2 linked regions of the Bombyx mori genome follow. The protein of the gene in region 2 interacts with the protein of the main gene of each other region in a pairwise test. Links are inferred from orthologs where the notes say so. Each region holds a gene or a part of one and is shown on either strand. Other genes may lie near its edges.

Region 1 (3,525 bases), on a different chromosome or scaffold from region 2:
CAATTATATCAAAACTAAAGCATCTATACATTCATGAGAAAAGTGTTACAGCCTTTGCCTTTGCAAGAAAATCAAACTGATTACATTATTTTATGTACTTTTTATGTGAAGTTTGAAACAAGTTTTGTCCAATAGATCAATGATGTTAGATGTTTAAATCTTACTAGTCATTACTCTTGTTTTTTCGGGCCGAAGGCCAATCTCCCACGAGGTCCCCGCGCCTAGTTGGCGCGCGGGGTATGTGGGACTTGATCTGCAGGTCTTGGGAGCAGACCGCGGCTAAGGAATTTTATGGGCCCTACCGCACTAAGCGACCCCCTGCACTCTTACACCCGACGTCCGATCTCCGTCCGGAGTCAGAACCCGGTCAGACTAGGGGGGTTCCCGCGGTCAACACTACAACCAGACACGCGGCGCCACCCCCGAGGACGCCAGACCGACGGGCCGTCGAGGCGATTTTGAAGTCGTCCTGGCCTAAAGGATAAGACGTCTGGTGCATTCGTATGTAGCGATGTCTCGATGTTCGAAATTCGAATCCCGCAGGCGGGTACCAATTTTTCTATTGAAATACGTACTTAATAAGTTTACCTTGTGCAAATAGCACTTTATGGTACATAGGCAAAGACAGAAAGTATAATTATACAGCCTTTAATCTCAAACAGTCACATTATATAAAAAAATCATTAAAAGAATATGAGTCTTGAGGTTTTGAATAAAAAATAGTATTTAATTAGTTGTTTAAATTTTATTGCTATGTCATAAATGGCCAAAAAAATCAGAAACAAATGGATATGAATTTAAAATGTGTTTTGGTTTCAGGTGTAAACATTTTCAAAGTAACATAAGTAAATAGCTCTCTATTTGTATGTCTCAGTCAGATTATGCTACAAAGCTTATTTACAATAGCGTAGTTGTCAGTTTACTTGAAAAAAATGAAACATACAGATATAATTATGATTATAGTACAACAATATTTATGTCCATAAATATAAGAGCATCTTTTGGTTAAGAATGTTATTGATGTAATTGACATGCACGTACTGCTATCAATTGTAACAATATAAATAATGGTGCAAAAACTTCACTGTATTCTATAGCCGAATCACCTTGTAGTTTTCTACAAAGTAAAAATTTGAAAACAAATGTTAGCCCTAAAAATATTCCACTCCAAGATGCTCTATATAAAGAAGCTTTATAAGAATTTTCCAGATTCATTCTTATGCATACAATACAGCAAAAGTATGCATTCATCGCATCACTCACAAACAAAGGTGCAAATATTGTCCACCATGCACTATTCAATACACCATCAATTTTAAGAGCTAACAGTACAGAAAATATAGTGAGCGTTATAAGATTGATCCATATTTCAAATACAGTAAGTCCAATCCATTGCACAATCTCATTTAGTGTAAAAAACATTATCACCCTTTCACTAGTTTTGATTAGATCCGAGCATTGCTGTCCTAAATATTCTTATGTGGATGGATGATGAATGTCGTATTTGTGAGCCAAAATCTAGTTCATCAGTCAGTGGCTCTAGATCATCTGTAAAAGATTAATGGCATATAAGCAAAGATATGATAGATTTATTTTTCCGATGTATTTATTGTAAGTTAGATTTGACAAAACCATTCAAATGAATATAGTTACTGGAGTGGTATACTTAGTATTTGTTGCTCACTATATAACTTCAGGAAATTTGGTAACTCACCAACTAGGTCTACAGATCCAGTGTTTACTTCGATTTGACAGGTGCCTGAAAATAGAATTTCCAGCTGAAGTGCCAAATTACAGCATCTCTGTATTGCCGCGCCTAGACCATGAAGTATTATCTCCTTTTCTCCTCTTGTTAGTAAATCGCAACATTTATCTAGTTGTGCCTGTAAATTAAGAAATATTTAATATCAGTGCTTACATAGTATAATGGGATGTTTTGATGTTTTTCGGTTTTACTTTAAAGTTCGTCTTCTTCGTAATAAACAACACATTGTCTCCATTTACTGGCCTAGGTGGTAAACGCTTTTTAAGAGCATAATTCTTATTAGGATAGCGTTTTTGCTTTTTCTTCGTTTCTTCTTTCTTCTGTAGACTGTTAGGATCTGCCATCACATCTGCCATAATATTTATAACCTCTGAATATTGACAGGTGTCAAAACTGACATAATGCCAAATCAAACCGTTTAATAGAAAAGTCACTAGGTACCTACCAACATAGGTACCTAATTAAATAAACCTGAAAAATACAAAATTAACGAAATCAATTAATTTCCATAACTTTTGTCATCGCCACTTACGTGATTATTTGGATGATGTTACCTGAAGAATCTTTGGCGGGAATGAGAGGAGAGAGTTGTGTGAATTGTGTTATTTTGTTAATTAAGTGTTTCTTTAGGTTTAAATCTGTAATAACGGTGGCTTGTTAGCTGTTTCATTTAATTTCATTCCATTTGATTAGAGTTGCAAATTAGAACACTTCATCTCATTTCGCTTCATATCATTTTTCACATAACAGATTACGTACCTAAATTAAACGTACACAATTGAAGATTCCTATAAACTCGACATTGGCAACAATAATTTAACGCAGCCAACAAGCTAATATCATTTAATAATTGTAGTGCATTTTTTTTGCTTAGGTGGACGGACGAGCTCACTGCTCGTCTGGTGTTGAGTGGTTACTGGAGCTCATAGACATCAACAACACAAATGTCGCCATACATACCGACAAACGAGGATGTTTAGTAAAAATAATTAACAAAGCTGACTTGCTTAATTTTAATTTTGTAATCCAAAACAAACTCAACTTTTCATAAAATCGATAATTAATAATATAATATAATTATTTTAAACATTAATTTTAAATTAAGCTTTTATATAACTATCAAAATATAAATATAATAATTTATTAAATCGATGTATCGGATTATAGCAAGGTTGATGCTAAAGTTGATGCAAAAATAGGAAATTAGTGTTTTAAGCCTGTTGACTTGTGTCACCGATGCTGACAAACAACAAGCAATCATAATCAATACGTTTTCGTTGTTGGATGATAACAAAATCATGTTTGCAGAATTTTAAAAATTGTTGGCTTATTTATCTGAATATCAAATGGATTGACAAATGATTTCATGAAATGTAGTTGATTGTACTCCTAATCATTTAAAATTTTATGTTTAATGAATCAAAATGGGTTGTGTATGTTGCTCGTTAAGTTCTTTTGTATCCATAATTCTTGATGCCCTGGAAAGGTAATTTTTATGTCAAACTTGTTTTCATATAAAAATTCTAAATGACGATCAAGAATTTGTCAATGAGTACAGATTTTTTTTTTCTTGTTGATATACCTACATACATAAAACGACTTCTTTTATCAGAGTATCATTGTGGACAGTATGCGCAATGCTAACATGTTGTTTGATGCTGACCATTCTAACCGTCACCATCATGGGCATCGGGATAGGCTACCACTACTGTTTCGTTCAATCATCAGTGGATGCAATGGGTAAGAAAAAGCATTTCGTA
Region 2 (3,840 bases):
ATGTAAGAAAAAAATAATAAACCTAAAAACTTGTATATCAAATGTATCTCGAAAATGTTGTTGGCGAGGTTCAGGCGTCATAGCTACCTGTTACACATTTATTTACTATATATACAAATACATTCCACATATTTTACAATAAACTTGTTAAAGTTAACAAATTGCATGTGACTGTGCAGCTATGTTATGTTGGCAACTGCCAAGCTGCGGCAAAATAGTTGCATCTTAAATTATTATTAATAGATAGCTTGCGGTAAGTATTAAATATGATACCTTTGTTACCATGCTCTGTATTAGTAGACATTGCTACTCTCTTTGCGACTTCAGCGTTTGCCATTTTCAGTGCTTTGTCGTACGCATCATTCAATTTCTTGTCGTCCCACACATCTTCCTCTTCTTCTTCTTCAGTTTCAGACTGAAATCAAACAGTAAAATCGGTTGTTATTTTAAAGGTAGGTAAGTAAAAATTTATATTTTAGAATATGATACTCGCTATATTCATTCCCCTAACGTACAAAATTTCGCTTTTAGACATTTTGATGTGGATTGTAAATTAGATACTCTTTTAAGTATTTTTTTGTATTTAAATTTTCTTTTAGCTAGAATTTTGTTTCTAATGTAAATTGAAAATTATGCTTTGACACTTGATGTTACAGAGACTTGACAGTGAGTTCTATTTTCCAACAGTAAAGGCAGAGATATCACAACGTACAGCTTAATCTTTTGTAAATTTTTTTTAAATCTTCAATTTTACGCCATTTACGACATCATAGGATCTTAGACTTGACATTTGATGAAGACGAATAATTGTTTGTTTGTTATGTATGTACATTGGACAGGCAAAGAGAAACTAGACGATTTATCTAAATTTTTTACAACAAAGGTCGAAAACAGAACTGCTGGGAAACTGTGGAATTATAAACATATCTATAATTTAATGTAATCGGATCATGTGAAGCGAGAACACAGTAAGTGTTGAACAAGATTATATGAGATGATTTCTCAAGAAATTGTGGGAAATGAAGTTAATGAAATTTTTTACAGTACACGAGACGTTCAGTGACTTTGTTTCATTTTTTCAAACATTCTCCATAACAGGTTTTTCACCATTTCGCTCCGAAACTTTTTTTTCCTAAAACAGAGTATCCATGGAAAGTTTGATTTTTCATGTCCTTGACACTTGCAATGTAATCGTAAGACACCCATTGTGTTGGCGACATGGAGTTAATAAGTACCTACAACAGTAACTCTATGGTTGGCGATTTCACGTGTTTGTATGTGACAGGCAAATATTAAAACTACTTTCTAGTAAGAGGTTTGTTGAGTATGCGGTGTGTGCGACAAAAAAGTATTTTTTGTTTCAACAAGACAAACATTAATATTATTTTTCGAATGTTCCCTTCATTTGCGCTAAAAGTGTGACAAAGTCCATGTAGGTACGGGTAAAAGGGACAAAATAGGGCTATTTCTTTTAATTTCGTTGATTGAGAAGCTTGAAACTTTCTAGCTTTTTCTGCCATAAGTCTTACCGTCTGATAATGATTTCAACTTAACACTTCTGGTTGTTTCTCAGAAGAACGGATTTAAGTGTAGGACAGACAGATGGACGGACGAACAGCAAAGAAATTATGTTAGAGTCCATTTTACTCTTTTGGAACAGAACTCTAAAAAATATATTTTCGTTGAACATTATTTATGGCAATACTGTTTATTTTTTTACTCAAGATTTGTGTCGCATCCATTACTTGCTCACCTTTGTACGGACATTATTACCCGATACATCACTAGATAAAATATTTCAGTAACGCTCTTCGCGACCGTCATTATTCAAGCTGCATTATCATAGCGTCGTTTACATCATTGAAATATTCTCAAGAGGGTCCCTATGTCGTTACGAGAACCACAGTAATGATGTGTTTGATAGTCGATCATCACTCCAACCATTGAATGGAAGAAAAATAGCATGGATACATTGTTGTGAAAAATTTAGATAGGCTGATTTTTTTCTATTTTCGTGTGTTGTATTTATCGATTTTGCACCAAAGTCAATGATTATAAGATGGGACCTCCGTTTCGAACAGATATGTTAAAAATATTTATATATATTTTAGTAACGTCTGAAAATAGAGCTGCCATAAAATCAATAGAGATAATTTAGGAGGTATCTAAGGCAGATAATTAAACATTAAGTGTTGGTGTGTGACGAAAAAAGGAAGAAATACAGAAAGGCATAACTAAACTAGCCAGATTTATGTGAGGTATAAATATAACACTTGTTGTAGAACTGGGAGTTAGAACTAACGTATTAAAGTGGGTGGCGGCATTTACGTCTATCTATAGGCTATAGTAACTATTTCACATCACACGAGCCGAGAGCTTGTCCATTCATCTACGTAAATAATAATATGCAAATAAAAAACATTCAAATTGGCCAATGGCACCGCTCACACTGAAACAAAAGTTTCTGTTACTGAAATAAGATTATTAAACTACACCAATACAGGGATTTCGAATCCTAATATTTAGTCTCCAACCAGAAATCCGTTTACCGGTGATCAGGGTCACCGACCATTAAATCTAAGAAGTGATTGAAAATTTAGAGAAAAGATCTATCCGATGATTTACAAGCGAAGCAAATTATCCCTTAGAAATAACCCACAGACACAGCCCACTGAGTTTCTCGCCGGATCTTCTCAGTGGGTCGCGTTTCCGATCCGGTGGTAGATTCTACGAAGCACGGCGCTTGCGAGGGTTCGTGTTAGTAATATCGTCCGGTTTTAGCCCCGTGAGCTCACCTACTAGCCCGGTGATGCTGATATTGTCTTTCTAGACCATCAGCATAGATAAAAAAAAAATAGAAAAGAAAGTGCTTCAAATAAAAGCACAAAACATTTATTTAAAACATTTTGTGCTCCTTAACGAATTAGTATGAGAGAAAATTTTCAAATTTCACGTCACATAAACAATACTATAACTAAATTATTTCCAGTGAAATAGCCTGTCTGTAAGAAGAGTGTCCAATTTGTTGCGGGAGCTTCGCTGCCGCCGGACGCTCCCCTTTCCAATGAAGATTTGCCTACAACTATAGGTTGCTTATTAATACGGCAATGGAATTCTAAAAATAGCTAAACTAAATTAGAATGACTATTTTTAGACAGAAGGGTCGTATTTCATCTACTACTCTCTGAAACAACGTCAGTATTTAAGGCAGAGGTTATATTACGTACGTTTTCTAATTGAGCGCAAGGGAATGTTTCATATCACATTCTCTAAATTCGTGGCAAAATGTCTTTTAATAAGGCACGCAGGTGTTCGTTTAGGGGTAATGAACTCAACTGAGTCGGTCTGTATAAAATTCGAAACTTAAAAAGGTTTTTTTTTCTTAATGACGTATTGTTGTAATGCAATATTCTCATTTGAGGGATCGGATGATCGATTCTTATTGGATAAGACACCCTAGTCTCAAACGACGTTTCTATGTGAAACGTGATTCAAATCCTTGTAGGACACTTGCGGTTTACTTTCTAAGCAAAATAAATGTGTATGTACGTCGTGTAATAACATCGAACCCATATATTTGACACGTTCGTAAATTTTTTTGCGCTAGTCCAATAAGCTTTTCGTAAAATAATGTTTTTGTTCCGGTCACACGACAGCATCTGTGGTAAGATAATAGAATAAAAATACCGGATGATGTAGGCTTTACTTCCCTGACACACATATTATTATGGTTTATGAGTATAGCCCGATATTTTTACTTCTGTCCGTTCACGAATCAAATTTAGTTCAGGGACAAGGTTCAAATATTGACCAGTGAAGTATTAGATCGAACAGAATCGA

The links.
Region 1: the proteins of survival motor neuron protein (region 2) and Tm interact in binary tests that used the Drosophila melanogaster proteins (3 or more experiments, as listed by UniProt). The link is inferred for Bombyx mori from reciprocal best matches to the Drosophila melanogaster genes Smn and Rpp20.

What each region holds. Positions count from the first base shown.
Region 1 is NC_085114.1:11,855,105-11,858,629, reverse strand, and holds Tm (Tm protein), read right to left. Parts: upstream 1,957-3,525; 5' UTR 1,956-1,956; intron 1,885-1,955; 5' UTR 1,884-1,884; coding exon of another isoform or gene 1,715-1,883; intron 1,549-1,714; coding exon of another isoform or gene 1,436-1,548; 5' UTR 1,423-1,435; coding exon 1,015-1,422; 3' UTR 726-1,014; downstream 1-725. Other genes in the region: uncharacterized protein LOC101739983, read left to right, coding at 3,190-3,251, 3,378-3,505. UniProt on the Drosophila melanogaster protein: Component of ribonuclease P, a protein complex that generates mature tRNA molecules by cleaving their 5'-ends. Also a component of RNase MRP complex, which cleaves pre-rRNA sequences.
Region 2 is NC_085127.1:12,737,013-12,740,852, forward strand, and holds part of survival motor neuron protein, read right to left. Parts: intron 416-3,840; coding exon 274-415; intron 1-273. UniProt on the Drosophila melanogaster protein: Core component of the survival motor neuron (SMN) complex that plays an essential role in spliceosomal small nuclear ribonucleoprotein (snRNP) assembly in the cytoplasm, is required for pre-mRNA splicing in the nucleus and acts as a chaperone that discriminates target and non-target RNAs of Sm proteins.